Linked DNA regions of Macaca mulatta. The protein of the gene in region 1 interacts with the protein of each later gene in a biochemical or structural test. Links are inferred from orthologs where the notes say so. Each region holds a gene or a part of one and is shown on either strand. Other genes may lie near its edges. The genes, in order: MAGI1, NET1, CRHR1, CYSLTR2 and FCHSD2.

Region 1 (5,582 bases):
TTTACAGCCCTGGCACTGAGATAGCTCAAGTAAAAAGATCAGATTCGAACTCCTCTGACTTGTACTTACTGGTCATTTGGTTTCTTGTTTGTTGGTGCATTCATTCACTATACATTTTAAGTTTGTGGGTGAATCACTAAAAAGGGACATCTCTTCACCAACCTAAAATCTAAACATCCACCTTCTTCTTCCCTATTCCGTTGTACAAAACTGGAGAAGAAAAGAATTAAATTCTCAGGCCCGCACTTTCCTTCAGCCCCAAATCCAGTTAATTAAATAAGAAGGTATGCACTACAGCGTTTGAAAATCTCCTTTAGGATTCATTGCAACCGAATCGTATTTTTTTCTCTTTAAATAAAAGATACGTCATTTTATAGGTCATAAAACACCCTATGTATACATTAAAATATTAAGTAAGAATTAAATAGAAATAACCCTCTTTTACCTTAGTGAAGTAACAGAGTGGTATATAGAACGATTTCATATATAGTAAGTATTTTCTTATGGAAATTACATTTCTTTTAAAAAACAAGATATTCATTTTAAAGCCCTGGACCATTACTGGGCGTTGAAAGTAAAATACCAAGTTATTGGAAAATGAATTAATACTTTTAATGCTGAAATATCATAGGCAAATTCTAGAGTAAATCAGCGATTTTGGCAATGAGATATATGATTCATTAATATAGACTCTTTGTCATCACCATTGATCTTAAGGATTTGGAGGCCTGGCTGATTTTGGTAATAGTATTGAAATCCTAATAAACTTTGTACAGTCACCCCTCAGTATCTGCCGGGAATTGGTTTCAGGACACCTGCATCCCCCATCAAGGTTGTAAAAATCCATGGATGCTTAAATCCCTTGAAAATAGCATAATATTTGTGTGGAACACACACATACACACACACACACTCTCCTTCCTGTATTATTTGTTTGTTTGTTGTTTATGTATTTATTTATCTATTTGAGACAGCGTCTCACTCTGTCACCCAGGCTGGAGTGCACTGGGGCAGTCATGGCACACTGCAGTTTTAACCTCCCTGGCTCAAGCGATTCTCCCACCTCAGCTTCCTGAGTAGCTAGGACTATAGACACACACCACCACACCTGAACCATTTTTTATTTTTTGTAGAGACAAGGTCTCACTATGTTGCCCAGACTCAAATGCCTGGGCTCAAGCGATTCGCCGGCTTTGGCCTCCCAAAGTGCTGGGATTGCCACTGTAAGCTACCGCACCCACCTCCTCCTATATACTTTAAATCGTCTCTACACTGCTTATGACATCTAATACAATGCAAATGCCATGTAAATAGTTGTGATACTGTATTAGGAATAACGACAAGAAAAAAAAAATCTCTACGTATTCATCACAGCTAAAACCATTGTAGGTCTAACAAATTTTCTATCTGTGATTGGTTGAATCTAAGGATGCAGAACCCACAGATATGGAGGGCTGACTGTATGCAGAAATACTAGAATGTTTGAGAGTAATTTTTGGCAAAAATGATCTAACAAATTATTAGCATTGCTAGTCTTAATTATTTTAAGGAAGAAGAAAGTGACTTAAAGATAAATCAGAAAGTCTGTTTAAACCAAGCTGTTCTCTTTCATCCTCTAGTAGAGGAAACATCTGGTGACTTAACATGACTTCAGAATCCTTAGAGCCGGCTTCAGAGGTGGCTCTGACTTAGCCTGAGTTCTGTTCTTGGACATGGACACCTGCTTTGCAGTGTGGCACATCATACTTTTAATTTACTTAATTCCCCTTGCAAGAATACTGAGGAAAGCAGTTAATGCTGACTATTTGTAGTTAAGGATCATGGCTTGGGCTTGATTCGGAATTATCAAACAGTGATGAGTCCTTTGAAGAACTTTAGGGCTCAGTGACTATTCCCACTATTTACTTTATCCCCATGTCTTCTGTTATTTCACCTGTTCAGAGTATTTTGTTTCTTTGCCTATATTGAAAAGCTTCCATCTGATCAAGCACCACCATTCTTGTCTTGCAACTGTGTTCATCTTGGGGGTATCACTGCTTTTATCAGAAAAATAATCCATGTCTTTTTTCTCCCCTCTCTGCAGTTCCAGATTACCAGGAACAGGACATCTTCCTCTGGAGAAAAGAGACTGGATTTGGATTTAGGATTCTGGGTGGAAATGAACCAGGGGAACCTGTGAGTCTTTTGCTCGTCTCTCTCCCCGGCATATTTTTCTAAGGCTTCAAAGCAAATTGGCAACAGTGACAAATCACCAAGATTTGTCCAGCTAGATGCAACACTGACTCTTTCATCTTGAGTAGTATGGGTTTTTCATTGGATTTTGTGGAGCACTGTTTGTCTTGAGGAAGAAGAGACTAGATTCTTTCTAAAAAGTTTGTATGCGTGTTTGTGAAAAGTGGCAGCTGCAGCCTCTGTAGACCACCCCTTTCCCCCAAGGGAGACAAAAACAGAAAGCAAAACAGGATAATCATCACCTGATGTAACAGTAGCCTGGTCCTTCTGGCCAGGTCCCTTCACTCTGCCAGCAGGTACTGGGCTTTGTGTGTTGAGTTGCTGGTGTGCAGAGAGTATTTCACAAAGCCTTATGGGACAGTGATTGGAGAATGTCAGAACCCTGCCTTTACAAAACTTGAGAAAGAACCCTGAGTAAGGGTCAAGAAACGTTGAACTTCCCTGGATCTCAGTGACCTCCATTTTGGAATAAATTTAGAATAACATAACAGGGTTCTTTTGAAGGAAGAAAAGAAAACTAAAATAGGTATTGTTAATTTCCTTGTGATAATAATAGCCATTATTCATCGAGCGCTTACTATGTGCCAGGTTCTGTGCTAAAGGCTCTTAACATACATTCTCTCATTTATCCATCAAACCCACCAGTTTATCCCGTTTTCACATTGAGAAAAAGAAAAGCTAATTAACTTGCCCAAGATTACGGAGCTACCAAACGGAGGGACTGACAAATAAGGTCTGACTCGAATCCATGTTCTTAGCAACTATTTTGTCAAAGTTCTTTGCAAACTGTAAATGCCATGTAAAGGTAACTATAGCATTATTGTCTGCTGGAAAGGCAAGGTAGGCACAAGTATTTTAGCTAAGGTTTAGTGAATGGCAAATATAACAGTAAGACATTAACTATAAAGAATGCTCTGCTTTCAGGTGCTAAAAGACTTCGAAAATGGAGATGTCCAACTAATTTTTGCTTCATTCATTCATTTAAGAGTATTTATTACATATTCCCTATTCCTAGGCATGATGCTAGACTCTTAAATAAAAGTAATATTAAAATTTTATTAGCAGAGTTGTATGGAAAGAGAGTTTTTAGGTAGGTAGGAAAGAAGAATAGGTTGTACAATGAAGGGAGAAAAGTGATTTATATCTACAGCGGAGAAAAAGAAAGAGTGAGTTGTCAGTAGGCCACAGATAAACAGCTGGAAACTAAGCAAGAAATATTCTTTCCACCATTTAATAATTGTGACAATACTTAGCACAATGTCTTGTACACAGTGGGTGCTCAATAAATGTTTGTGGCATGCCTGCAGACATGAATGAATGAATTGTTCCCAGAGATGTGAAGGCCATTGATGTCACAGTAAATGTAGGAGAGAAGTGTTTCATCCATCGTTCAATTATTCAACAGATTTATATTGGTCACATTGTACCACTGGGTGCTGCTGATACCGACGGCCGCCTGAGGTCTGGAGATGAATTAATCTGTGTGGATGGGACGCCAGTAATTGGAAAATCACACCAGCTTGTGGTCCAGCTTATGCAACAAGCTGCCAAACAAGGCCACGTCAATCTCACAGTGCGGCGTAAAGTGGTTTTTGCGGGTATGTATTTCATTCATTCGTTCAGACAGTGCGTTGTCACTTGATTCACAGAAAAGGCCTCCTTCCTGTGTCTGCCTCCTTGAGCATCTATTTTAGCAAATGTTTGCAAATGTGATCAAGCTCAGAATTTCCAGATGGCTTGCTTCTCTCAAACCCTGCAAAAATTACTGTCATTCTAAAGTACTTTAATGTGCCGTTTGCATATGTTCAACAAAGTCTTCCAGAGGAAGGCTTGTTGAATATATATTACTTCCCTTCTATCTCCTTGCAAATCAGAACTTAGCCATCCTCTTCATTTGATGATAATCCTCAACAAATGAGGTCATTATGAAAGTCAGAAGAGTTGTAGCTTCATATCAAGAGAACAAAAATTGGGTTTGTGCTACAAAATAAGCTCATAAAAAAGTTACTGATTTCTTACTGTCCTATGTATTAAACCAAGATTTTTTTTTCTTTCTACAAGAAAGTTGTAGAGCCAGCCAGTTCTAGGTCAGCTTTGATTCCTTCTTCCTGCCCATAAGCTTTGAACTTTAATTCTCAAAATACTACATATCCTTTCAGGCTCAGCACAAATATAACCTTCTTCCCTCGGAAATTCCTCCTTCCTCCGACTACCTTCAGATTTTAGCATTCCCTCCTTGCCATTCTAGTGACTCATGGTTTACTTCCACATCCGAATCTGCCATTTTGAGACAGTGAATTGTGTGTCTGTCCTTTCCCTTGACCTACCAGCTTCCTGAAAGCTCACGTTGAATACACCTTGTTGTTCACCTTTGGATGCAGCTCCCACTTTGAAACCTTTGAGACAGAACCCAGAATACAGCAGAAGTGATTGTCTTCTATCAGTTGAATTACTGGAGAAATATGACCTGAAATATTATGAATTCTTGTGGCATTAATATTAGTGAAACAGATACCTGCCAGATCAAATTAATTGGTACCTTGTTTTTTTTTTTAAAAAAAAGTATAACCCATTTTAAATGGTATATGATTAATTATAGAATTAAGATGTTAAATTCCAGTGTGAGAGTCCTACCTCCTGCATCCATGGAAAACAGTGTTAATCTGCTGTAGGTTATGTCCCTAGAGCTTGTTTGTGGCCTCACAATCCTTCTTAACATAGTATTCCATGCAGCTAAAAGCAGTCAGTTAGAACTGGTTTTTGAGATGAGATGAAAACTATCTGGCTTCCCTGGCCCAAATAGAAATAGTAAGGCAATGTGATATTTTGTGTTTCAGGTTTATTTTTTTAAATATTAAATATTTTGGATTTTTAGCTCTGTGTAAAAGGCGTGTCAAAACTATGAAGAGACATTATGCAAAGCGAACTAGTCACAAAAGGAGAAATATTGATTCCCTTTATATGAGGTACCTAGGGTAGTCAAATTTATAGAGACAGAAAGCAGAATGATGGTCGGTGGGGAATGGAGGAAATGGGAAGGGGAATTAGTTTTTAATGAGTACAGAGTTTCAATTTGGGAAAACGACAAAATTCTGGAGATGGATGATGATGATGGTTGTATAAAAATGTGAATGCAGTTAATACCACTCAACTATATGCTTAAAAATGGTTTAAAATTTTGTTATGCTTATTTTTCCACAATTAAAACAATCTATGAAAAGAGAAGCTTTTGAAAATAAATACAGTCTGATCCAAAACTTGGACACAACACACATTTTGTTTTTGGCATAGTTGGTTCCACCTACTGTGTTGGCTGTTTAGGAGCGCTTTAGTAACACTAGCACGGTGAC
Region 2 (6,330 bases), on another chromosome or scaffold:
AGCCACCTACGGATGGCTAAACTAAAAGAGTACCCTGTAACACATGTCCACTGAGGCTTCAGCTGTAAACATTCACCCGTAGACATAGCCGTGGGGTCGGAGCCCCACAGCCTGCCTGTCTGTATGTTCCCCTAGAGGTTTGAACAGCAGGGCACTGAAGAAGCCAGCATACCCCCAGTGCATGCCCTGCGTGGGGGACAAGGGAACTTTTCCCATTTCAAAAGAAATGAATCCCATTTACAACTGCATCACAAAGAACAAAATACTTAGGAATAAATTTAGCAAAACATGCAGAACTATACTCTGAAAACTACAAAACACTGTTGAAAATAATTAAAGATCTAAATAATTGGAAAAACATCCCTTGTCCATGGATCAGACTACTTAACTCTGTGTAGAGGGCAATATTCCTGAAAATGATCTACAAGATTTAATGCAATTCCTATCAGAATCCCAGTGGACTCCTTTGTAAAAATCAATAAGCTGATTCTAAAATTCACGCAGAATTGCAGGAGACCGAGGATAGCCACAGCAATCTTGGGGAAAAAAAGAACAAAGTAGGAGGACTCACATTTCCCAATTTCAAAACTTACCACACAAAGCAACGGTAATCAATACACTATGGTAATGGCATAGGGCTATTACATATAGATCAAGGGAATAAAAGTCAAAGTCTAAAAATAAACTCTCATGTTTATGGTCAACTGATTTTTGACAAGGGTGCTAAGACTACTCAATGGGAGAAGGAACAGTCTTCAAAAAATGGTGCTGGGGTACCTGGATAGACACATGAAAAAGAATTAGGTTGGACCCTCATCTCACATTATATACAAAAACTAACTCAAAATGGATTAAAGACCTAAATGTAAAAGCTAAAACGATACAATTCTCAGAAGAAAGCACTGGGGAAAGGATTCGTAACAATGGATTTAGCAGTGATTTCTTGGATATGACATCAAAACACAGGCAACAAAAGCAAAAATAGACAAGTAAGACTACAAACTAAAACATTTTTGTGCTTCGAAGAACATAATGACAGTGAAAAGACAACCCACAGAATAAGAGAAAATATTTGCAAATAATCTATCTGATAAGGGACTCGTATCCAGAATAAAGAACTCTTAACTCAATAAAAAAGAAATTTGCAAATGAGCAGGGCCAGATGCGGTGGCTCTCGCCCAGGCAGGCGAATCACAAGGTCAGGAGTTCAAGACAAGCCTGGCCAACATGGTGAAACCCCGTCTTACTAAAAATAAAAAAAATTAGCCACGTGTGGTGACACATGCCTGTAGTCCCAGCTACTCAGTAGGCTGAGGCAGGAGAATCGCTTGAACCTGGGAGGCAGAGGTTGCAGCGAACCAAGATCGCACCACTGCACTCCAGCCCCGGTGAGAAGAGTGAGATTCTGTCTCAAAAAAAAAAAAAAAAAAACCCCAAAGGATGGCCCACCAAAAACGGCCACACACATTACATGAATTCATTCATATGCGATGTCCAGAACACAGAAATTCCTACAGACCAAGAGATTAGGTTTTGGGGCAGAAGGGGCAGGAGGTGAACAACAGCTAAAGGTTATAAATGCTCTTTTTGAGGTGATGAAAATGTTCTAAGTAGTACGATTTAAGTGGGTAAATTGTACTGTACGTATTTGTCTTTCAAATTAGTTTATAGTGAGTTTTGCAGAACATTTTTTAATAGTCACACAATCATATACACAAATTTTCCTTATGATTTCTGAATCTGATACAGCCCTTAGTTGTTTCTTGCCTCACAATTAATACTATCTTGTAATATTTTACATATTCTTGTAGATGATCTTACCTCTTTTCTGGAAAAGGAATGTTAGTTATTTAATTCTCCATTTTCCCTCCATGGTTCTTCTGTGTCTCACTCTCCTCATGTTGCCTGTGTTACTACGCTTTTCTCAGAATAGATCATTTCCTACCTCACACAAAAAATAGAGGCCTGGTGGGAAAGTCCTCAAATTCCTGCTCACGACACACCCCATTCTTCAAAATTATGTACCATCCATAGCTTCTTGTTAGGCTAAATCCTCCACCTTGAATTTGGATTCTATCCTTTTCTGCCTTCTTGGATCCTTGTTCAACCATTTTTCTCCTCTACTGTCTGTTCGACCTCTCCCTCTATTTGTTAACTAAGCTCAGCACATCAAGTTTATTCTTTTTTAAGAGTCTATCCCACAAACTTGTGTTATTTCCCTCTATTCTTCTTCCTTGTCTTCCTGTTGCAGTGAGACTTCTCTTCACCAATCCCATTGCCAGCTATCAGATTTGAACAATCATCATTTTTCATTTAGACTACTGCAGACTGATTTCCTACCAATTCATCATCTAAACTTGGAAATTTTAATTTGGTATACACGGCTGAGTCCACAAATCTCCTGAAATGTTTATGTATATGAGCACGTTTTTGGGGAATAGTTTTCATAAAATATGAAGAGTGAGATGAGTCCAAAATGTTGCTTATTTTTCTCATGGAAGACAAACTGATCTTTTAAAATGCAAATATGTCATGCTATTGGCTCATTTAAAGTCTTTCAGTATTTCCCCACTACCATGAAGATAAAACCCAAACTCTGTCAAGGCATACAAGGTCTCTTCATGATGTGGCTCTTACCTCTTTAGCATAAATCTCTCATGACTACCTCCTCCTTCTCCCTATACTGGTCTCCTCTCCTCTATACAAATAGTATTGTTAATATAGTAATAAAATAGAATATACACCCAGAACTCATCAGACCCATTTGCTTCAGGGTCTTTCTACATGCCTCTCTGCCTGAAATCACCCATCTACATCTGCTCTCTAAACTGGTCCTCAAAGACTCAGGATTACAATAGGAAATCATTTCCTGTTCTCTCCAGTCAGGATTAAGTGTTCCTTTTAATCTATGGCATTCTATATTCTATAATATATAGAATTCTAATTCTATATTCTGTAATAACTTTTATCACACATTATAATTATTAACCTACTTATCTTTCTTCCCTATTAGATTATAAACCTTAAATAGTAAGAACAGTATTTTTCCATTTCCATATTCCTAGTGTTGGCACTCACATTATTTCCTGAACAAATCGCACATTCTCTTCTCAACCTGTTACAAAACACTCTAAGTTCGATATTGTAACCATTCTTGGTAACCATCTAAGATCAATACTCTCTTCTCATTACCAAATTTAATTTTCATTCCTCATCTAGCTTAATCCTCATATTTTACTTAATCCTCATTTTTATTTGACCTGTCAATAACATCTGACACAGCTCATCACGTCCTCTTGAAATCCTTTCTTCATTTGGCCTCCTGGATACTGTTCTCACTTGGTTCCCTTCCTCCTAATTCACCAGCTATCCCCTGAGCTTCGCTCTGTGAAATTTCACTGAGCCAAACACGAGTCATACACTCTCATTTCAATGTATACTTCCACAAAAAGTAAAAAGAAAAAACACGAAAATGGTTGTGATGGAAATAGGCATCTCACAACTTATCCCCTAGTCTTTTCATTCTCAGGACATGGAACCCCATTCTCGTGGTGCTCACCATGTCAGTTTCGGTCTGAGTAAAGTCATTTGGGAACTCCAGTCTACAGCCAGTTGGGTGTGGAGAACAAAACCATTGTGGCTTTTCCTAAGTCTCCCCTGAGAAACAGGAGGAGAGGAGACTCAACAAGCCCGCCCCTTTGCCACAGGCAGGGAAAATCGCAGTTGGGAGTCTCAGGACCGACCTCAGGCCAAGGCCAGGCACACTGTCACTCCGGCCTGTGTCACCCTCATCTCCAGCGGCCCCGGTCCTCCCCCGAACCCCGCAGTCACCTCCCCCACCCCCCACTTACCTCCCAGCGGCCCTCGCCTCCCCCTGGCCCTCACCAACCCCCCCATCCCCCCATCCCCCGCTCTCGCTGCCCCCCACACCCAACTCACGGCCAGCCCTCCCCTCCCCCCGGCCCCTGCCTCCCCAACACTCACCTCCCGTTCGGCCCTCCCCTCCCCCACACTCACCTCCCGTCCAGCTCCGGCCCAGAGGTGTCTGCCGAAGGCCCCGCCACTCCCTCCGTGCTGAGCCCAGAGGCCCGGCGGCTTCGCCTCCGCGGCCGGGGCTGTTTCTGAGCCGCCAGCTCGGGCTCCATGGCACGGAGGAGGGGGTGGGGCGGTGGCCGGGTGCCCAGAAGACCGGCAGGGACGGGCACGATGCCCGCCAGCCTCTGCCAGGCAGAAAGCGCCTGTCAGCGGACTGCAGCCGCCACCGCCGTCATCCGGGGATTTGAAAATGGCGGCTGCGCAGCGATCAGCCAATCAGTGAGCGCGCAGCGGTTCCTAGGAGACGTGGAGTCCCGCCCCTTCGCCGCTCCCGGGATCCACTTGCCTAGGAAAGAGCCTAGGAAAACTTGACATTAACTGTTGAGCGCATCCCTGAATCCCCAAGGCCCGATACCTCCTTCATTGTTCATTAGGACTTTCACTGCAGGCCAAGGCAAATGGACTGGAAGCATTTTAAGTCATCAGATCTTTCTTAGCATTTGGGGAGAAGAGAGGTCCAAAGTAATGACCTGTAAACAAGGCTTGTTTATTGGCCATATACACACTAAATTACTGTGCACGTGGCCAATATGAGATATATTTCCAATTACCAAAGATTATACAAGTGTGTTCCCAGGGTAGGAAACAGCAAAATCTAATTTTGAGCCCTGGTGTCTTCCAATAAGGATACACAGTCTCTCCTTAGCAAAACGGAATGAAGTAACTTCATCCTTTGCTTGTAAAAAGTCAGCAAAAGACATAATACAAAATAAAGGACGGCCTCAAGTAAAAAAAAAAAAAAAATTGTTAAATTACACGTTCTTTGAATTTAAATATTGCTTTATATGTGTCAAAGTCTTTAAAATAGCTTCTCCTGACCGGCAGTGGTGGCTCACGCCTGTAATCCCAGCACTTTGGGAGGCCGAGGCAGGCGGATCATGAGGTCAGGAGATCAAGACCATCCTGGCCAACATGGTGAAACCCCATCGCTACTAAAATACAAAAATTAACTGGGCATGGTGGCACATGCCTGTAATCCCAGCTACTCGGGAGGCTGAGGCAGAAGAATCCCTTGAACCAAGGAGTCGGAGGTTGTAGTGAACCAAGATCATGGCACTGCACTCCAGCTCAGCGACAGAGCGAGACTCCGTCTCCAAAAAAAAAAAAAAAACACTTCTCTTTTGGCACTATATTTCAACTTCTGGAAATTTATCCTAAAAAATAAAATTATATAAACATGAAGCTATTAATGATATTGTTTATAATAGAAACATTTAAGACAACCTAAATAAACAATGATTTACAGCTCATCCACTGAGAAGAATATTTTCAGCCAACAAAAATGAAGTGTGAAGTGTGTAATAGTATACTGGTAATTTGAAATAAAAACATGAAGTATAGAGATATATTCAGTATATTCAGTTATGAATTACAAGAGATTATACAAAGGAAAAAGATAATGTCAATGTGTTAAAATGTATTAAATGTATTAAAAAATCAATGTATTAAAATGTCTCTAGGTAGTTAGACTTCAGGTATTCAAAATTTTTATTTTTTGCACTTAATTTTTTTTAAAATAAGGACATATTGAACTTGTAGAACCTTTATAACATGAGGGAAAAATGTTTTAGTTTTAAAAAGAGCAAGAAATTAGGGAGTAAGATTGAGAGGCGAAGCCAGCTGGACGTCCTGGGTTGAGTGGGGACTTGGAGAACTTTTCTGTCTAGGAAGAGGACTTCAAAATGCACCAATCAGCACTCTGTAGCTAGGATTGTAAAACGCACCAATCAGCATTCTTTAGCTAGGATTGTAAAACGCACCAATCAGTGCTCTGTAGCTAGCAAGGGGATTGTAAAATGCACCAATCAGCACTCTGCAAAAATGCACCAGATCAGCTCTCTGTAGCTGGCAAGAGAATTGTAAAATGCACCAATCAGCGCTCTGTAAAATACCAATCAGCAGGACCCTCAAAGTAGCCAATTGCAGGGAGGATTGAAAAAAGGGCACTCTGATAGGACAAAAAAGGAACATGGAAGGGACAAATAAGGGAATAAAAGCTGTCCACCCCAGCCTGCAGTGGCAACCCGCTGGGGTCCCCTTCCACGCTGTGTAAGCCTTGTTCTTTTGCTCTTTACAATAAATCTTGCTGCTGCTCACTCTGTGGATCCATGCCACCTTTAAGAGCTGTAACACTCACCACGAAGGTCTATGGCTTCATTCTTGAAGTCAGCAAGACCATGAACCCACTGGAAGGAACCAACTCTGGACACAAGTTGACCTTGGATAAGTACCACT
Region 3 (5,582 bases), on another chromosome or scaffold:
CTGGCACGTGAGAGGCATGGGGAGCAGGGGTTTCATCAGGGGGAGGCCTGGGGGAGGTGGTACCCGGTTACCTGTACTGAATGGTCTCAGACGTGGTGGATGCCCGGAGCTTGGTCATGAGGATGCGGACGATATTGAAAAGGAAGATGAAATTGATCTGCAATTTGAGCACACCAGCAGGCTGGAGTGTGCAAGAGGCTGGGGACCCAGGCTTCTCAGTTCTGGCCTCTCTGGCCTCAGTGCTCCTGCTGTTCTCCCTCCTCCTCAGGAGCAGCTGCACATCCCTGGCCCATGCCCCCTCCTTGGGTGGCCCCCACCTCTAGGCAGAGGGGTCCTTTCTGTCCACGGTTGGCATTGATCGCCCCTCCCCACTGGGCCCTGTCTCCTGCCCCTACCCAGGGTCTTACCAGCAGGACCAGGATCATGGGGCCCTGGTAGATATAGTCGGTGTACACCCCAGGCCTTTTGCCAAACCAGCACCTAGAAGGCCACAGAGGAAAGGGGAGGAGTCATCATCTGCATCTGCCTCGGTGGCATGGGGAGGGACAGTGCTTGGCCAGGATAGGACTGGGGCTGGAAGCCAGGAGGTAGATGTCCCAATTCCAACCCTGGCAGAAGGTCAAGTCACTTGATCCCACTGCCAAGCCTCAGTTGTCCCATCTGCAGAATGGACAGCATCCTCTGTGATGAGATGCAAAGTTGGAAGCAAGCATCGGGGCAGGAGGCAGACAGTGGGAAAGACTGCGTGGCCGGGAACGGGCGTGAGCTCAATACGCAAGCTGCATCCTTGGCTCCTCCTCACGGTCCCCTGGCTGTGGCTGAGGCCCAGCATGTCCTCTGGGGGGCTGCTGGTGGGAGTGGTACCACACGTGTCACCCAGTGGGCACCCAGCAGTTCTCAATCTCAGCCTGAACCTGTCCAATCGCAGCCCGAACGACCTTGAGAGGAACATCTGCACAGGTTCTACCTGCTGCAGGGGGTAATTGCTTTGCATTTTCCTGAGTGTCCCTCCAGCAAGCTCCAGGGAGGCCTGGGGAGTGGGTGGGGACCAGACAAACTGGAAGCCCTTATGTCCCCGTGGGTAAGAAGACCCCCAGTGGCTAGATCTCATAAGCCAGAAATTGAGATTTGTATACGAAACCTTTGGATTTTTTAAAGCTTGGCTACAAAATCGAGTTTCCAGAAAACACCCTGCCGGCCACACACAGCTTCTGTGGGCTGGGTCCAGTCCTTGAGCCTCTGGTCTGCAAGTTCGTTTCTGCTTTCTCACACCCAGATCCCCTCTGTTGCAGTGTTGAATTTTCACCACCAGGTGGGGCTTCAGAGCCGCTCAGACTCACTTTCTCCTTTAGCCCAAACAGTTTTTGTTTTGCTTTGTTTTTTGAGGCTTGTGGAGTCTTGCTCTGTTGCCCAGGCTGGAGAGCAGTGGCACGATCTTGGCTCACTGCAACCTCTGCCTCCTGGGTTCAAGAGAGTCTCTTGCCTCAGCCTTCCCAAGTAGCTGGCACTACAGGTGTGCACCACCACACCCAGCTAATTTTTGTATTTTTTTTTAGTAGATATGGGGTTTCACCATGTTGGCCAGCCTGGTCTCAAACTCCTGACCTCAAGTGATCCACCCGCCTCGGCCTCCCAAGGCCTCAGCTAGCCTGAGTCAGGAGGGAGTCAACCTCCTAAACACGCAAGATAATCTTCCAGGCTCCTTCGTCAGCCCAATGAAGCCATGCAGGCCCCCTCCCCTCCGTGGGGTGAGGAGAGGGCTTGTCACTGTGGTGGAGGCCACTTGGACGCCAGGTCAGTCAGTCAGATAGGTTCCTGGGAACACCTGTTTGGCAAACAAGGTCCTGGGGCTCCCCTGCCATCCACGTCCACCTTTTCTGCCCCCCTCTCTCTCAGTGGTTCTCAATCTTAGCTGCACATTAGAATCACCTGGGCAGTTTTCAAGAATTCTGGGTGCCAGGCCACACCCCAGACTAATTACACCTGACTCTCTGGCGGTGAAGCCTGGGCACTGGTACTTTTCGAAGCATCCCAGGTGATTCTAATGTGAGCCAAGGCTGAGCACCACTGCAGCAGAAATCAAGTTTCCAGGCACGACTGGAAACACCTGAGTCCGTTTCATAAGGAACCAAAGAACTTCAGAGCTGGAAGAAGCCTCTGGGATCATCTAGGTCCACTTCTGTTAAATTCACGGACTCTTCTATTAAGATGTCTTAATATTACGAGAACACATTTATACAGCATTTGCTCTATGTGCCAGGTCCGATTCTAAATGCTTAATATAGATGGACTGATATCACCCCACAACAGCCCTTTGAGGCAGTATGTCCATTTTATAGATGAGGAAACTGAGGCACGCTGCAGTAATCCGTCCAAGGTCACACAGCTATTTAATGACGGAGCCACGATTCTGAACCTGGGCAGTCTGGCTCCAGGCTGCTTCCTGTGTAAGCTCAAGGCAGATAAAGGAGGCTGGATCCTGTTTGTCCAGTCCCACCCAGGCAGAGCACAGGCAGGGACCCTCTGAATGAGTCCAACCCCCCAGATCCCTCCCTTTACAGATGCAGAAGCCATGGTCCTGAGGGGAAAGCCAGCATGGCCCAAGGCCCTTGGGAGTGTCACCAAGCTAGGCTGGGAGCCTAAACCTTGGGGGCAGGAAGGGAAAGGAGGTGACTTACTTCTCATTGTCGTAGTACAGCTTCCCAATGGCCCAGGCCACAATGATGGGGAAGGGCACACCTGGGGGAGAGATGGGCTGTCACAGAGCCCTCAGCGGGGGCTGGGGAATGTGGGCCTGGAGGACCCCAGTGCAGCCCAGGCTCCAGGCGGTCTAGGGTTACCCAGGGTGGATCTCAAACTCACACACCTCCTTCAAGGTGCTCCTGCTGCCCCCCACCCCCAAGAGGAGCAGAGGGCTATGGCACACACCCCACTGCCCCAACCCGACCTCCATCCCTCAGGCCCCCCAGCCCTCTGGCCTGAGTCTGGGTGAGGAGACGGCAGCACGGTGGCTGCCACTGCCCAGGCTGGGGAGGTGGCTGCCCAGCTCACCCCAGCCGATGCAGATGAACATCCACTTGCGCAGCCGGTCGGTGGAGTAGGTGAGCACGATGGCTGTGTGCAGGTAGCAGCCCTCACCGAACATCCAGAAGAAGTTGGTCACATGGAAGTAGTTGTAGGCGGCGGTCACCAACCTGCACCAGACCTGCCACCCCACCCCCAACCAAAGATGATGATGAGGGGCAGGGGTGGCACCAAACCCTGGCCCTGGGCCTCCCCCAGGCAGGACGGGGCACACCCTGGGATCCCACTCCTGTTCTGTGGGCTCCTCCTCTGCAGGGCAGGCCCACCTGGGCCCCTTCTCTGACGTGGGTTTGGCCTGACCTGCTCCCCGCTCCCCCGCCAGGACGCACCACGTTGCTCTGGTGGACCTCAGGGCTCATGGTTAGCTGCACCACGAACCAGGTGGCGTTGCGCAGGATGAAGGCGGAGATGAGGTTCCAGTGGATGATGTTTCGCAGGCACCGGATGCTCCTGGTGCAGCAGGGCAGGTGGATGATGGGAGCGACAGGAGAGAGAGGATAAGGGGCAGGCCACCCACATCACCCCAACCCAGATGTGTAGATGAGGAAACTGAGGCACAGGGTAGGGCTAACTGGCCAAGTCACACAGGGAAGTGACAGCAAGGCTCTCCTAATGCCCCATGGAGCCCTTCCTGCCTGCAACCCACCCAGACAAAAGCCCCAGGCTCTGCCTGGCACTCCATGGACCAGGGCAGCTGGCTTCCTGGGGATGCCTGCTTCCCCTGGGGGTGCCTTCCACTCCCTGCCATTCCAGGATGGACAGTCACAGGGGTCAGCCTTGCTCCCAGCCTCCAGCCCTGATGCTCGGCTCCTGATCCCAACCATCCCCATCCCTGGCTCTGCCACCTGCATCCTTGGCGGTAGTGCTGGGGCCCATGTACTTTCGAACCTGAAATGGGTCACCACTCCATGGAGCCCCCACCTCCAGGGCACCATCTGCCTGGTCACCCCAATGGGTGCAGCCCGTCCTGGGTGTGGGTGACATAAAACAAGCTTTGTCCCTCCCCACCATTCCAGCAGCTACTGCGGAGGGGGCAGAGCGGCTCTGCCAGAGGTTCCCGGAGACCTGAGACTCTCGGATAAGCCAGGCCCTACCACCCTCTCCCAGCAACCCCCACCCCGACCTCGAGCTGCTCCTCTCACTTCTCCACCCTGCTCCTGCTCTAGGGCCGGGGGACAAGAGGACGCAGTGCTGGGGTCTGCTCACCTGAGCCGCAGGAAGAGGACAAAGGCCACCAGGAGGGCCACCAGGGAGATACAGTGGCCCAGGTAGTTGATGATGACTGCGACATGGTAGTGCACCTTGCTTTTTTTCTGGAGCAGGAGAGAGGGGCAGAGGTGAGCTTTCTGCACAGCCAAGCCCTTGCGCCTGCTGGATGGGAGCCGCTCTATGAGGACATTGCCTGGGGGTGGCTGGGACGGAGCAGGTCATGATCTCAAGGGCCACTCCCCCTTCCTGAGTACCTGCTGTGGGTCAGGCCTCGCTGCAGAGCAATGCTGTCCAGTTTGAGGCTCTGTCTGTCCCTGAATCCCATGCTCTGTTCACTGCTCTGTGTTGTGTCTGAGTCTCCACATCACGTGGGATTCCCCACTCCACACGGACGCCCCCTCTGCACGCATAAGCGTGTGTGGCCGGCTCACAGGTGCGCCCTCACAGTCGCATCTGCCCATGCTGCCACCCGGTCGGAACACCAGGTGGACCTCTCAGCTGCAGAGACACCAACCTCCCGGGATTTATCTTCTCCACCCATTTCTGAACTGAGTCACTACCGTCTCGGCCGCCCTTGAATCCCTCCTGCTGCAACGCCGCCTGCTCCTGTGAGCGAGGAGGGGCCGGACAGCTGCTGGGCTCTGGCATCCACAGAATCAGCCGAAAGCACAGAACAGTCTCCTTAGGCTCCATAACTCACTTTCCAGGGCCTTCCCCATCCCTGGCCCAAGGGGATCTGTGCAAAGTGAACAGGATCCTCTCCCAGGACTGGAACACATTCCCCGGGTTTATTTCCTAATGAATTTAATATACTGATGGAGGTCACTGCCCTCCTCTTTACAGCAATCTTAAGTTCCAAGAGTGATGAAGCCTTCCCATTTACAGAGGATTTTCATATCTGTTATCGTCTGAAACCATCAGGGCAACCCCATAGGGGGAGCCGGAAGGGCTTCTGGGCTTTAGTTTGTAGGAAAACAGCACAGAGGTTATGTTGACGCACTGGAGGTCGCGCAACTTCAAAACCACCTCTTGCCTGCACGTGCAGACTGGCAAGGTACAAAGGCTGCAAACAGGTCCCCAGCCCATAATAGGGGACTGGCCAGTCCCCATGCCTAGCTCTCTGCAGACTCCTGCCCCAGAGCAAAGCCCCCATCCACACTTTTATAGGTCCCAAGAAGCAGGGCCTAGAAACCAAGAGCTTGACACGCAGTCGAACTCCGAAGCAGTTGTGTGAGTGAAGGAAAGAAAGACAGGTGTTGAAAAGCAGGTGGCTTTGGGAAAGGAGGGGT
Region 4 (6,306 bases), on another chromosome or scaffold:
CAATAGGGATTTCTGCCTCTTACAACTAACAAAGGGAGTCACCTTCATGTCTCTCAGTGAATTTACAAGATAACAGAGTTGTTTTTAAGGTAAGACTCAAAATAAAAAGAAACCAACTTACCTAAAAGAATCTGGGATACAATGTTATTCAGGTGATGGTTACCCTAAAAGCCTTGACTTGACCACTACACAATCTATGCACGTAATAAAATTGCATGTGTAATCCATAAATTTACACAAATTTAAAATACTTTTAAAATAATAATTTGACAAAAGAGAAAAAAGAATCTAGGATGCCTTCAAATACTCTTTAGATGATTGTTTTTCTGTAGTAGAGGTACAAACAAGGTAAGATGCTGTTTCTACAGCCTCATGGGAGGAGACTTATATGGGAAATTATCTTTTTTATAATAAAAAAATTCTTATTTATGTAATGTACAATATAGGTAATAATGGTGGACTAAATTATTTTAAATTACCCCAGCTTAATATTTAAACTTCCAGAGTAAACCGGCTCCCTTCCCCTCTGTTCCTCTCTCCTTTTCCATCTCTTTCCCTCCTCTTCAATCTCTTTTCCTCCTCTTCCATCTCTTTCCTCCTCTCCTTTCTCCTCTACTCCCTTCCTTTCTCTCCTTCCTTCTTGTTCTTCCTATAGTCAGCTTCCTATACTTTCTGGAAACCTCTCTCTTAAGGATTTCACACTAAAGAAGCAAAAAAAGTCTACCTCTGGTCCCAGCTCTTCCTAAGGACCCTTCCAACTTTGGAATTTCTTGACTCCAACTCACTGCTTAGACCCTTATCCTGGGCCTCTCAAATAATAACTAGATTTCTCTGTCAAAAGACTCTGACTATACTGCCACAAAGTCATCAATCCATTGGAAGAGGTTTTCCTTTAAATTCTGTCAAGATTATATTTTCTCCATGGGTCAATTAATATAAAGAGGTTAATAAAGTTCCACAGAGATAAACATTAGCTGTAACTAAAGTCTGCATTCACTGGTGAATCGATTTATTTACACAATGCCTTATTCTCAATGGAGTTTATGTGCTAGGTTCTATGCAAGGACTCCAATGTCCAAGTCTTAGTCCAATAGAACCTACTGTACATAAGTAACTACAGTACAAAGGAGGCAGTGGCCAATACCCTGATAAATAAAGAAATACAGTGCTAGGGGTTTCTGACATGGATTTCAAAAAGCTCTCTAGCAAAGCTAAGCATCCACAGCAAAATACTTGCCTTTCTTTGTATTATCCAGTTTGGCTGCCGCATTAGCCAGAGTTCATTGGGTAATTGCACAATCCCTTGTGAGGCTTTTATCTTAAAGCCTTACCCTTGGGGAACTAGAGTGCCTCAGATATCTGGTGCATAGAGCAAACTATAGAAAAGCAGAAAGGATCCTTGATTCTGGAGTACACAGGAAATCTTAATGATGCCCAAAGTAACCATCATGTATTCATGTACACAGCAATGAGTAGTACACTGAAAAAATATAGCATCTTTCCTCCAAAACGGAGGCTGCTCATGTGATCCCAGGTGGATGGGAGGCAGAGTGATATAATGAATGAAACCATGTGCTTTTGAGTTAAAAGGGTCCTGGGTTTAAGTTTCAACTCTGCCTTTTAGTCTCTTTTATTACTGCAGCCCTCTGAGCTTCAAACTCTCCTCTGCCAAAGGAGCACTGGAGTGAGTACTGATGAAAAAAAAATGGATGTGAAGTGATTAACTTGGTGCCCAACACACACGAAGAATTCAGTCAGTACTAGCTGACAATCACAATAAAATTTGTGACAATAATGTACAAAACTCAGAGAATTAAATAGCAGCCTTCTTTACGGCCAAGTAAAAGATGGGGCCATTTCATCCGGAGAAGAGCCAACCAGAAAGACATGAACAATTCTATTTACTTTCCTTTATTTTTATTACACAAGTAGTACATGTTCATGGTAAAGAAAAATTACAATGTAATACAAGCTGAAATAAACTTAAATTATGAACTTTACCACCAACCAGACATATCTAAAATTTCACATATATGCTTTTTTTCATCTTTCTTGAAATATATACAAATATTTTTAAACAAAAATAAGCGCATTTATAATACTGTTTTATATCTTGCTTTTTTCTTATTTCCATGCCATGATCACCTTTCTTTGCCAAATAACAACATCAATGTCATCATCTAACTGGCTACAGAATAACCAATTATATAAACATTATGAAATATGTTTAACCAATTTCCCACAATAGCTATTATTTAAGTTGTAAGAATGGACCATGTGCCCTGGGCTAAACCAGATTGGACCAGTTCTGGTTCCACCTGGAAAAGATCCTATGTTCTCTCGGTCTCATCTTTACCATCTTTAAAATAAGAATTACTCCAGTTCTTAAGGCTAGTATGTGGATCAAATGAACTGATGCATGTAAACGTGTTTTGTAAAGTACTATGTGAATGTTTACATTCATTAATGAAGGTACTAAACAGGTGTTCTCCACTGAGTCAAAACAAGAAGAAATTTGATTAACATGCTGTTGGTCTCGTTGGCATGATTCCTGGCCTGCAGCAGGCTAGGAGTGCAACAGCAAATGCTTCAACGTGGTTTAGGGGCTCTGGCTCTGTTTTCAGTCCCCAATGGGAGAAACCAGAACGCAGCCCTGGCATAAACTCTGTCCACTTTCCTCCTGAGGACATGAGGTCCAGAGAAGGTAAGTGCCATGTCTATGGGGCTCCTGAAAGCCAGAGTGAGCCACCTTCTGCCTCCAAATCCAATGCCATCGATCTTCACTGTGCCCACAGTGTGTTAGTGACTGGCCAGCTATTAAATGCCCACCTTGTGTTTAATCTTGAAGATTGCAAAAGAAAGGAAGCCTGGCTGCCTTGGCAGATTCTAGCAGATATGGGCGTGATTCAGGTACATTCAGAACATACGACAGCCTCAACTTCTCTAACTTTTAACCATCGAAGCACTGGAAACAAATCCACCTCTTTAAAACATTAGTAAATCGAAACACAAGTAGATTCTCATCTCAAGAGTTTATGTGGCTGAGGTAGATAGAAATTTCTAGAAGTCTTATGTTTCCCCCCAAATTATTCTATAATTTGCATTATGTATGTAGTGTTGAAAGGGAGATTTGATTGGATTGCCTGAAATTATACCTTCCTTTCTCCTAATACATATTACTCTCAGGTATATGTCAGAGACAGAAAAATATTTTGAATGACGTAGGTCATCTGTTTTTATGCCGACCACCTATTAGAATCACCTGAGAAGTTTCTGGAAAACAAGACAAAATACTGCAGATGACTTGCTGATCTCTAAAAGTTAAGCTTCAATTATTCTAGGGGTAATTTTCTAATCTCCTCAGAGTCAGGTGATTCTGGCTTGATGTGCAGCCAGAGTTGAGAAACACTGGTTAGGGTCCCAGTGGGGTAAGGAACAGATTATATGCTCATGATCTCACATACTCTTTCACTCTCATTGTGCCTCTAAGCAAAACCATTGAAACATATGTGCTCAGATTCAACTTCTTCTACCTCTAAAACAAGACCCTGAATGAAAAAAATATATCTTATATAATAAAAGGACCCAAACTATGAAAAATAGGATAACTGCTATACAGCTAAAAATGGAGGAAGTAAAGTTCCTCAATGCAATATTATGCAGCAGCTTTAATTTATGATTACAAAGAATTCACAGCAACATGGAAAAACCATAGACTGAAATGCAGGAAATGAATATAAACGTGTCCATAGTGCAGGGACGCAACTATGAAAACTAAAGTTATATGTGCATATACACATTCACAAACACGCACACACACACACACATACACACACACACACACGGAAAACCCCCAAAATATCAATAGAGGCTATCTTGGTGGAGAATTTGGCTTCCTTTAACATTTTTGTACTTTCACAGTATTTTTTAAACTACCATGTACATGATAGGAAAATAATATTTATAGTAGAACAAAACAAATTTACTTTTCAAAAATTACTCCTCTATTACGTGATCTTCAAGTCATGATTCTCAACACTGAATTAACAAAACAAAGATTAAAATGCCCACCTGAAGTTCTCTGTCTTTCAGCTGCCCTGGCTTCTGCTGCCTCTATCTCTTCTGCCTTTCTCCTCCAAGTAATTCGGATTGCTCATTTAAAAGAAAAGGGAAACAGCAAATTATATTTATGAACAGTGCCAACCAATAGCAAGAAAGTCAGGAAGTGTAGCAGGTCATCTGTGCTTTTTAGAAGCCAGTATAGATGTCAGTGCAAGATCTCTTCTCAAGAAGGGGGAAGATTTCCAGTTAAGGGCTACATCTAAAAAGAAGAAACCTAAAATTGCCCTGCCCCTCTAATGACTGGTTTTTGTCATTATCTTTCTCAAGAGAACAAGCGGATATAATGGGTTAGAGTCAGGGATTTTAAGTGGCTTTTAGTTCTCCTGAAAGGTTTCTGTTTCCATGGCAACAGAAATAGCAACACTGCCTTACACACACAGCACTTTAGATTTGTTTAAAGCACTTCCCTCACTCACTTATATTTTCAATTCACTTGCACTCCAGCAGAGACCTTATCCACTCTGCTGAAAATGTTCTGTCAGAGGTTACCAATAACCTTGTTGCTCACATAAAAAATCCTTTCTCAGTCCTCACCTTCCTTCCCGTCTTGTTTGCATAGTTGACCACTACCACTTTCCTGAAACTTCTTCCTTGTTTCTCTGACTTTCCTGGTTCTTTTTCTCCCCCTCAGATTGCTCTTCTTTGCCTCTCTTTCTGATGCCTCTTCTTCCATCCCTTTTCTACATGTGAGCTTTCCCCAGAGGTCTGTGTTCTGACTTCTTCCCTCCTTCTCTTGCTCTTATCTATCTGATGCACAATCATGGCCAAATTTAATGTGACCCAGATGGACCTTTTCTCTTCCCCTCTTAGTCCTGCATCCCCCCATCTACCCTGTCTAAACAGTGGCACCACAATAATTTAGTCCATCCATAAACCTAGAAGTCACTTTTAACTTCTCTCTTTCTTCCACCACCCACTTCTGAGCCAACAAGTTCCATTTGTTCTGCCCATAAAATATGTCCCAAATCCAACCATTGCTGACCTCCCCATCACTGTTCAAATCCTCATTTCCTGGATAGAAAGCTGCAGTAACATTAAGCAAGAAAAATACATAAAAGGGATCCAAATTGGAAATAAATAAGTAAAATTATATCTGTCTGCAAATGATAAAATTTTATACGTAGGAAAACCTGAAGATTCCATACACACACACACACACACACACACAAAACCCCAATAGAACTAATAAGCAAATTCAGCAAAGTTGCAGGATAGGAAATCAATACACAAAAATCAGTTGCATTTATATATACTAACAATAAACAACCAAAAATGGAAACTAAGGAAACGATTCCATTTAGAATAGCATCAAAACGAATAAAATACTTTGGATATATACTCAGTAGTAGGGTTACTGAATCTTGTTGAGATCTCTGCACTCTCATGTTTACTGTAGCACTATTCACAATAGCCAAAATATGGATCACCCTAAATGTTCATCAACAGAAAGATGGATGAAAAATGTATATATTCACAATTGAATACTATTTATTGATTTAAAAAGAACAAAATTTTGTCATTTGTGGCAACATGGATGAGCTTGGAAGACATTATGTTAAGTGAAGTAAGCCAGGCATAGTAAGATAAATACTGCATGTTCTCATATGTGGAAGCTAAAAAAGTTGACCTGATAGAAGTAGAGAGTAGAATAGTGGTTACTAGAGGCTGGGAAGGGGAGGAGGCAGGGAGAGATAGACAGAGGTTGATTAATGGACACAAAAGTTGATCAGTGGACATCTAGATAAGAGGAATGTGTTCTAGTGTTCTACAGCACTGTAGAGTGACTGAAATAAACAACAATTTATTGTATATTTTCAAGTAGCTAGAAGAGCAAATTGTGAATGTTTTCAAAAATAAATGCCAAATGTTTAAGGTGGGGAATATGCTAATTACCCTAATTATACAGAAGAGTTGGCAAAGCCTGCAGCTGCCCTTGTCCTCTTCCCACTCCCAGCTCCCTCCCACATATGAAGAGCTCCACACTTAGGCATGGGGAATTCTAGCCCTCACGTCCATGTCCCCTCTCCCCTCAAAACAGCTGCTCTTGGCCACCTGTAGGATGTAGGGCTACACAAACTGTATGCTCTGATGCAACTAGGGAAAAGGCCATAACCTTTGAGGACACTTGGCTGGGGAATTCTCAAGTATCTAGAGCACAATACAGACAAGGAAGTGTCCCTCAGC
Region 5 (6,382 bases), on another chromosome or scaffold:
ACTTTTAACCACATCAAGAGTTTCAGGTATCTCACACAGGAATTTTTTTTTTTTTCTTTTGAGACAGGGTCTCACTCTGTTGCCCAGGCTGGAGTGCAGTGCTGCCATCTCGGCTCACTGCAACCTCCACCTACTGGGTTCAAGCAATTCTTCTGCCTCAGCCTCCCAAGTAGCTACGACTACAGGCGCATGCCACCATGCCTGGCTAATTTTTGTATTTTTAGTAGAGACAGTGTTTCACCATGTTGGCCAGGCTGGTCTCAAACTCCAGACCTCAGGTCATCTGCCTACCTCAGCCTGCCAAAGTGCTGGGATTACAGGTGCGAGCCACCACGCATGGCCTCGCATAGGAATTTTTAAGTCTAAATATTTTCTTATGGTTATAACAAGGGGGGAAAGACAAATACAGAATTAAAATTGTAATTTTCAGTCAGAAAACAACAATCTTGATAAATCCAGATTGGATGAGAATAGATTTATATGCCTTAGTCAGAAACCCTAACGACACGTATACAACAGAAATGCTTATATTGCCTAAATATAGGAGAGGAAAAAAAGGAAATTCTTAAAACTAAAATCTTTGGGCTACAAACAGCAATTCAAACACATAATTTTATAATAACACCATCGAGTTAATATTTTTCATGAAACCAACATGAAGTGTACTACCAGAAAACTAGGTAACTGATAAGGCTTACAGACCCAATTCCAATGTGATAAATGTATTACAAAAGGGAAATAAGAATTGCAGCCACTCTTGTTTCACCATGCAAATCATCTCCCATTCTAGACAAAAATCTTTGTTGAACTGTCAGTCTATATTAAAAGACTGTTAAATAAGTGGTATTTCTTTCATTAAAATAAGTCATCCATCCCTCTAGGAAGAAAGATACTGATTTTCACAATATTAGCAAGATGTCTTAGCTATTCAAAGTTATCTTGACTATGAATATGAGTAACCTCAATAATAAAATAAAATATGATAAACACACTTCTCACTAAATTTGGCACTCAAAGACAAAGTTGTATTTGTCATGTTCTAACCCAGTGAGAGCATATAATCATCTGGGGTTGACTGGCTCACCCCCAGATATTAACCATTAACCACAAGTGTTGGTTTAAAAATCTAACTGTGTAAAACTGTTAAGGTCAATAAAATGATTGTTACAGTTCCATGGAAAGATTATTTAAACAAGAATCTTTAATTATTATAATTTGACTAATAAGACTTTTAAGGTCCTTTTTTCCAAATACTATGTGTGCATTATAGGTCCCCTACTGAAGGAAAAAGTTTGTATTGTGTTAGTTCCATTTCTAATTTCCAGCTGAGTCAAAGTTCTAACAGCCTTAAAGCAGGAAATCCAAAAGGAAATTCCATCATCAGTTCCTGGGGCTTGGTAACTCAAAGCTTCTTTGAAACAGAGAAATAGAAGTCCTTGAACTATTTACTATAGCCTTACCTCATATCTTCAAGCAAATCACATTCTGCTTGATGTTTGGCTTGAAGTTTTGTCATCTGCTCAACTTGAATGTTTTTCAGTTCTTGGGTAACTTTCACCTAAAATACACCATATATTTATGAAGGTCTTTTTACAAATTTAACCCAAAAAAATTGCTTAAGGAAAATACATCTGTCAGAATATGTCTCTTGCTCGCCTCTCCCCTGAAGGCCATAAATCCATTATTTGCCATCTAGTTTTATTTACTGAAGATACTTACTTAATGAAAAATTAAAGCCAAATAGCCTGAACAGAGGTTTAATGAAAATACACGACTATAAATATTATAAACTAAAGACATGCAAAATAAACTGCCAGTCATTCCATTTCATACACAAGCTCAATCCATGTCTAGGTCTTCCTAGAGTTTTAAAAGAGGCTGTCTTCTATTTCTAAAAAAGATTCAAAGACTTTAACCACCAGGAGAGGCAAGCAGAGTGTGGATGGGGGCTGGGAGGCTAAGAGTGCCTGATACCCAATGACCAATATTTACACAATCATGATAATATGCATGAATCGACTACATAAATTACTCCATAATGGCTGCGAAAAAGCACACTGTCTCAGAATGATGCCCTCGACTTGCTGACAGCGCATCAAATCACAATCTCTTTCTCACAAAGGAGAAAGCTAAAGTGACCTTCCAGCATATGCAGTGCTTTTAAACTACCCCGGCAAGCCGATCCCGGTAGAGGCTCCACTTCAAACAGCGAGAACAGCAAATGCCTGCTGGCCAGAGGGCCTCCCGCCAGGCCGGGCCCCAGGGTGCGAAGTTACGGTGGGTCTGGAATCTCGGCCTTAGGAGTGGGACCACTCGGAGGGGTGGGGGTACATGTTCGAAAGAAAATGACTCACTTAAATGGAGAAACCCGGATTAGGAAAGAGAGAAAGCAGAGGCAGCAGACACGGGTGAGTTAGGCGTTAGGCAAATGTTTGCCCACGAGGGGAGGACAGAACGGCCTCATCCACCCAGTGCCCAGAGTAGACATTCAGTATCTATCTGTAGGATTAAAAAGACAAGGACACAGCCTCGACCCCTGGGAAAGCTGGGGAAGGGCGCAGCGGGGAGGCTGATGACAAGCAGGGTGCATCCGTCACTCCCACCCTGGTCATCCAACCCCGGATCGCAGTGCACACGCCACGCACCTCCCGGGCCCGGTCCTCGCTTTTCAGAAGACAGCACTACAACCTCCTCGCCCCTCAGTCGGGAACGAGGCAGGACCCGTCAATCCTTAATTTATTTTCCCTTGGGGTGGGGAGGCGGTGACTATTCCAACTTCTTTTCGGCCGCCCCGTGGGAAAAGCAGGCCAAACCCTAAGGCTAGGCTAGAAACAAATCCCCCGCAAATTTGCAAGCGGGCGGGGCTGGCGACAAGCGGCTGGAGGGCTCAAAGCTGGTGCAGACTAAACAATCACACACGCACAAGGCTCTGCAAAGCTGCCGGGGCGTCCCTGCCTCCCCCTCGGTGCAGCCCGGAGAATGCACTTTGCAGCGGGCAGCATTGCCATGCGCGCGCACACACACAAATGCACACCCGAAACTCTTGTGAAATGTCTGGGGGTCTCCTGCGTAGAAAAGGGACGAGCCCCGGCGGCCCTTCTGTCGGAAAGGCAACTCACGAGCACGCCCCCCACCTGGAGCCGGCAGCAAGTCGGTGACAAGCCCAAGGCGAGGGCGGTCACGGCCCCTTGCGGGAGGGGGAGGGGGCGCAGCGGTCGCCCCAGCCGCGTTCCCCGTACGCATCCCTCCGAACCCCAAAGCCCACCAACTGCGCCCTTACCTTCCTCGGCGGCGGCTGCATGATGCTGAAGGGACATCAATCCTCCCCGACGGCAGCCTTAGCAAGGACCAGGAGGAGGAGGGCCGGAGAGGAGGGGACGGCCCAGCGAGCGCGCGCGTGTGTGAAAGGAGAGCCTAAGAAGCAGGACTTGCCCCGAAGGGAGCAGGCCGGCGGGCGGCCGAAGGACCCCAGCCAGAGACCGAGTGTGAGGAAAAGGGGGAGGAGCGCCGGGAAGGCTTGGGGCCCGGGCGGCCCGGGGGTGTGTGAGGAAGGAGGCGGAGACGGCGAAGGGGCGGGGGCCCCGGGAGCGGGGTCGCGAGGGTCTCCACCGGCCGGGCGGCGGGTGAGCCGCAGCAGAATTGTCCGCGCTCCCCGTCCGCCGCCTGCTGGGCCGCTCCCGGCGGACGCAGCGGCCCCCACCCCACCCACTCAGGCGGCCCGGCCCTCGCTGGGCCTAACGCCCCCGCCCGCCCGGGAGGAGGAAGGTGGTGCCGCGCTCCCGGCTAGGGCTCCACCACTCAGGCCGCGGGAATTTCCGGCCTCGCCGCGCGGCGCAGCGCCCCGCTCCGGCTGCTGAGGGAACCGCTCCGTCCAGAGCGGGGTTCGAGGGGCCGGTCCGCGCTGCCGGTAGGGAGCGAGGCCACGGCACAGGGCTTCGTACCGCGGCAGGGGAAGGGGGGAGCTAACGGATTGGTCGGCGGGTGGGAAGTGTAGAAACGCCAGCGCCAGGCGAAAATCCCCCCTTTCTCTCCGACAGTGGCACGTTCCAGACGCCTCCTGGCCTCCCTCCCCCACGCTGAGAGCCAGCCGGGGGCTTCCCGCGCGCTTTCCCGCCAGCTCGCCCCGGCGCGCGTCTCCGCTCGGGGGCGCGCACGTGGGCGGGAGAGGGCTCCGCGCCGACGCACGCGCAGAGGCCGCCCCCGTCTCCTGCCCGCCTTTGCGGCTGCAGTGTGTTTGTGTATGTGTCGGGGGGGCGGGGGGCGACGCTCACAGGGAAATGTTTGCAGTGGGGAGGGGGTCAGCATCCCTGTGGGATACAGAATTCTGGCGTTTGCTTCCTCTCAGCCCCTCAACACCCCACTCTCCCTACCAGCTAGATGTGCGCAAGAGGGACGAGCAAGGACAAGTCGCTTTGCGGCTGGCCGCAGGTGCCAGGCCATTGAGATTGTAGGGCGGAAAGGCAATTGCTCTGCAAAGGAAACGGCGGCACTCTACTGCAGGGCATTCAAGTCAAAGATCACTGACTCTGCGCTGAGAGGGAGCCGAGAGAACGTTAAGGCCGAGGCCCCCATTTCACAGACGGGGAGGCAAGTGCCCATAGAGGGAAACCTTTCTGAAGGTTACACAGCAGGACTAGAATCTCCGCGTCAGGAAGGGTTCTATGGGTTATTTTAAAAAAGAAACAGGTGCAGGATAATAGGCACGAGGAAAAGTAGAGGAGGCAGGAGAGGCCATAGAGGAAGCCCTTGTCTGGGAGTCAGGATCTCTGGGTGCCAGTCCACTTTGCCTACCCCTAACAGGCTAGGTGAGCTCGGGCTGCCTTATCTGCCAGTGAGGATGCTTATCTAAGCAGTGCACCCCACCACCACACATGAACCTTCCTGCTCTGTTCAGACCATCTACAGGGAGGGTTATCGGCCTCCCTTGGGGTCCTCAGAAGAGGAATACCTCTTCCCCATGCCGAGGGAGTTTTTTTGAGTCACGGGGCTGTGTGGAGGCTGAGCTGGTTTTTTCAGAAGTTGAGATCCCAGACAGCTGTTCTCAGAAGTGCAGTTAGGCCTAAGAGGAAGGTGAATGAGGCCTGGAGAGACAAGTAACTTCCCAGGTGACCACATGGCCAGAAATTGAAAAGGTGGAACTTAAACCCAGGTTGTTTACATTGAGTTAGGCTAGATTCTTGTACAGAAAAGTGATAGAGCTGTGTTTTGAGTAAGATTAATCTGGAGCTGTGTATGAACTAGGAGACTAGTCTTGCTATTTCTGGGTTCAAAAGTTAGCCCTTCACCAGAATCCTTAATTAAATCAGGGAAGGCCTGGGGCAAGGGGACAGGTGGATAGAGGCCTAGGGCCCTGACAGCTGTGGGGCGGCAGCTAGAGCCCAGGCCACAGTAACCTAGGCTGGGCTCCAGTCTCAGCTCCACCACCAATTTTTTGTGAAGGCTTGAGCTAGTCAATTCACTTATTTCAGCCTTGTTTCCTCACTTGTAAAATGGAGGTATAATGCTAACCTCATAGGCTTGCTGTATTAAATAGAATTTCTCCTACCACAGGGCCTGGCATGTAGTGCTTAGTAAGTGCTTATTGATTCATCATTCATTCAAAAAATACTTGCTAAGGTCCTGCTTTGTTCCAAGCCTATGCCAGGCACTGGGGTTCTAGAGATGAGCAAGATAGAATCAGCCTTCACCAAGATTGAATTCCAGACCAACCATTCCTTGAATGACACTGGGCTAGTGGAAGAGGGGTAACACAGTACTTGGCCCGGATGCAGTGTCATGCACATAGCAAGTGCTTAACAAAGATTTGCTGAATCCTAGTCTTGGGTGCAACTGGTCTGGGCCAGAGATTATCCTCCCTTCACCTCTCTTCTTAGGAAGTGAGCACTGGGGTATAATGGTGCTGGATGTTGGGAGACATGAGATCCAGCCTCTACCATGGATCTAGTGGGCTTTCTCTGGGCCTTGGTGCCAGCCTGCAGAATAAGATAAGTGAGTGAGCCTAGAACTTAGGAGGCTGTTCACAGAAGAAGTCAGACCCTGGGGATTTAGTTTATGCATATAGGAGGGCATCCTCTACCTGATTTGCCATCATTCTGAAGCCAGGAGTGGCATTGACTTTCTGGAATGATTTTCTTTGGAAGTGTTATAAAGAGCTAAGGGCAATACCAGATGGGCTTACCTACTGACTCCTATTTCAAAAATGTGATTTTAAAAAAAATTGTTTTAATACTTACCAAGTGCCTTTTCCAAACCTTAAACTTTCATATTACTTTTCCAAGCTAATCTTTACCTGTGAGATAGTATTATTTTCTTCATTTTTACTGATGGGGAACTGGAGGCTCAGTGAACATAAGTGACTTACCCTGACATGATAGACTTGAGA

What was found.
Region 2: the proteins of MAGI1 (region 1) and NET1 form a complex in vitro, tested with the Homo sapiens proteins (3 studies listed by BioGRID and IntAct, with this or other methods). The link is inferred for Macaca mulatta from reciprocal best matches to the Homo sapiens genes MAGI1 and NET1.
Region 3: the proteins of MAGI1 (region 1) and CRHR1 form a complex in vitro, tested with the Homo sapiens proteins (2 studies listed by BioGRID and IntAct, with this or other methods). The link is inferred for Macaca mulatta from reciprocal best matches to the Homo sapiens genes MAGI1 and CRHR1.
Region 4: the proteins of MAGI1 (region 1) and CYSLTR2 interact in a test that uses a peptide from one of them, tested with the Homo sapiens proteins (2 studies listed by IntAct, with this or other methods). The link is inferred for Macaca mulatta from reciprocal best matches to the Homo sapiens genes MAGI1 and CYSLTR2.
Region 5: the proteins of MAGI1 (region 1) and FCHSD2 form a complex in vitro, tested with the Homo sapiens proteins (2 studies listed by BioGRID and IntAct, with this or other methods). The link is inferred for Macaca mulatta from reciprocal best matches to the Homo sapiens genes MAGI1 and FCHSD2.

Annotation. Positions count from the first base shown.
Region 1 is NC_133407.1:128,931,471-128,937,052, reverse strand, and holds part of MAGI1 (membrane-associated guanylate kinase, WW and PDZ domain-containing protein 1), read left to right. Parts: intron 1-2,083; coding exon 2,084-2,175; intron 2,176-3,637; coding exon 3,638-3,830; intron 3,831-5,582. UniProt on the Homo sapiens protein: Plays a role in coupling actin fibers to cell junctions in endothelial cells, via its interaction with AMOTL2 and CDH5. May regulate acid-induced ASIC3 currents by modulating its expression at the cell surface.
Region 2 is NC_133414.1:6,978,807-6,985,136, reverse strand, and holds the start of NET1 (neuroepithelial cell-transforming gene 1 protein), read right to left. Parts: upstream 4,282-6,330; 5' UTR 4,146-4,281; coding exon 4,018-4,145; intron 1-4,017. UniProt on the Homo sapiens protein: Acts as a guanine nucleotide exchange factor (GEF) for RhoA GTPase. May be involved in activation of the SAPK/JNK pathway Stimulates genotoxic stress-induced RHOB activity in breast cancer cells leading to their cell death.
Region 3 is NC_133421.1:70,737,780-70,743,361, reverse strand, and holds part of CRHR1 (corticotropin-releasing factor receptor 1), read right to left. Parts: intron 4,398-5,582; coding exon 4,291-4,397; intron 4,052-4,290; coding exon 3,965-4,051; intron 3,535-3,964; coding exon 3,414-3,534; intron 3,206-3,413; coding exon 3,052-3,205; intron 2,740-3,051; coding exon 2,679-2,739; intron 481-2,678; coding exon 408-480; intron 158-407; coding exon 72-157; intron 1-71.
Region 4 is NC_133422.1:27,852,803-27,859,108, reverse strand, and holds the start of CYSLTR2 (cysteinyl leukotriene receptor 2), read right to left. Parts: upstream 4,259-6,306; 5' UTR 4,072-4,258; intron 1-4,071. UniProt on the Homo sapiens protein: Receptor for cysteinyl leukotrienes. The response is mediated via a G-protein that activates a phosphatidylinositol-calcium second messenger system.
Region 5 is NC_133419.1:73,506,261-73,512,642, forward strand, and holds the start of FCHSD2 (F-BAR and double SH3 domains protein 2), read right to left. Parts: upstream 3,518-6,382; 5' UTR 3,302-3,517; coding exon 3,281-3,301; intron 3,157-3,280; exon of another isoform or gene 2,646-3,156; intron 1,559-2,645; coding exon 1,461-1,558; intron 1-1,460. UniProt on the Homo sapiens protein: Adapter protein that plays a role in endocytosis via clathrin-coated pits. Contributes to the internalization of cell surface receptors, such as integrin ITGB1 and transferrin receptor.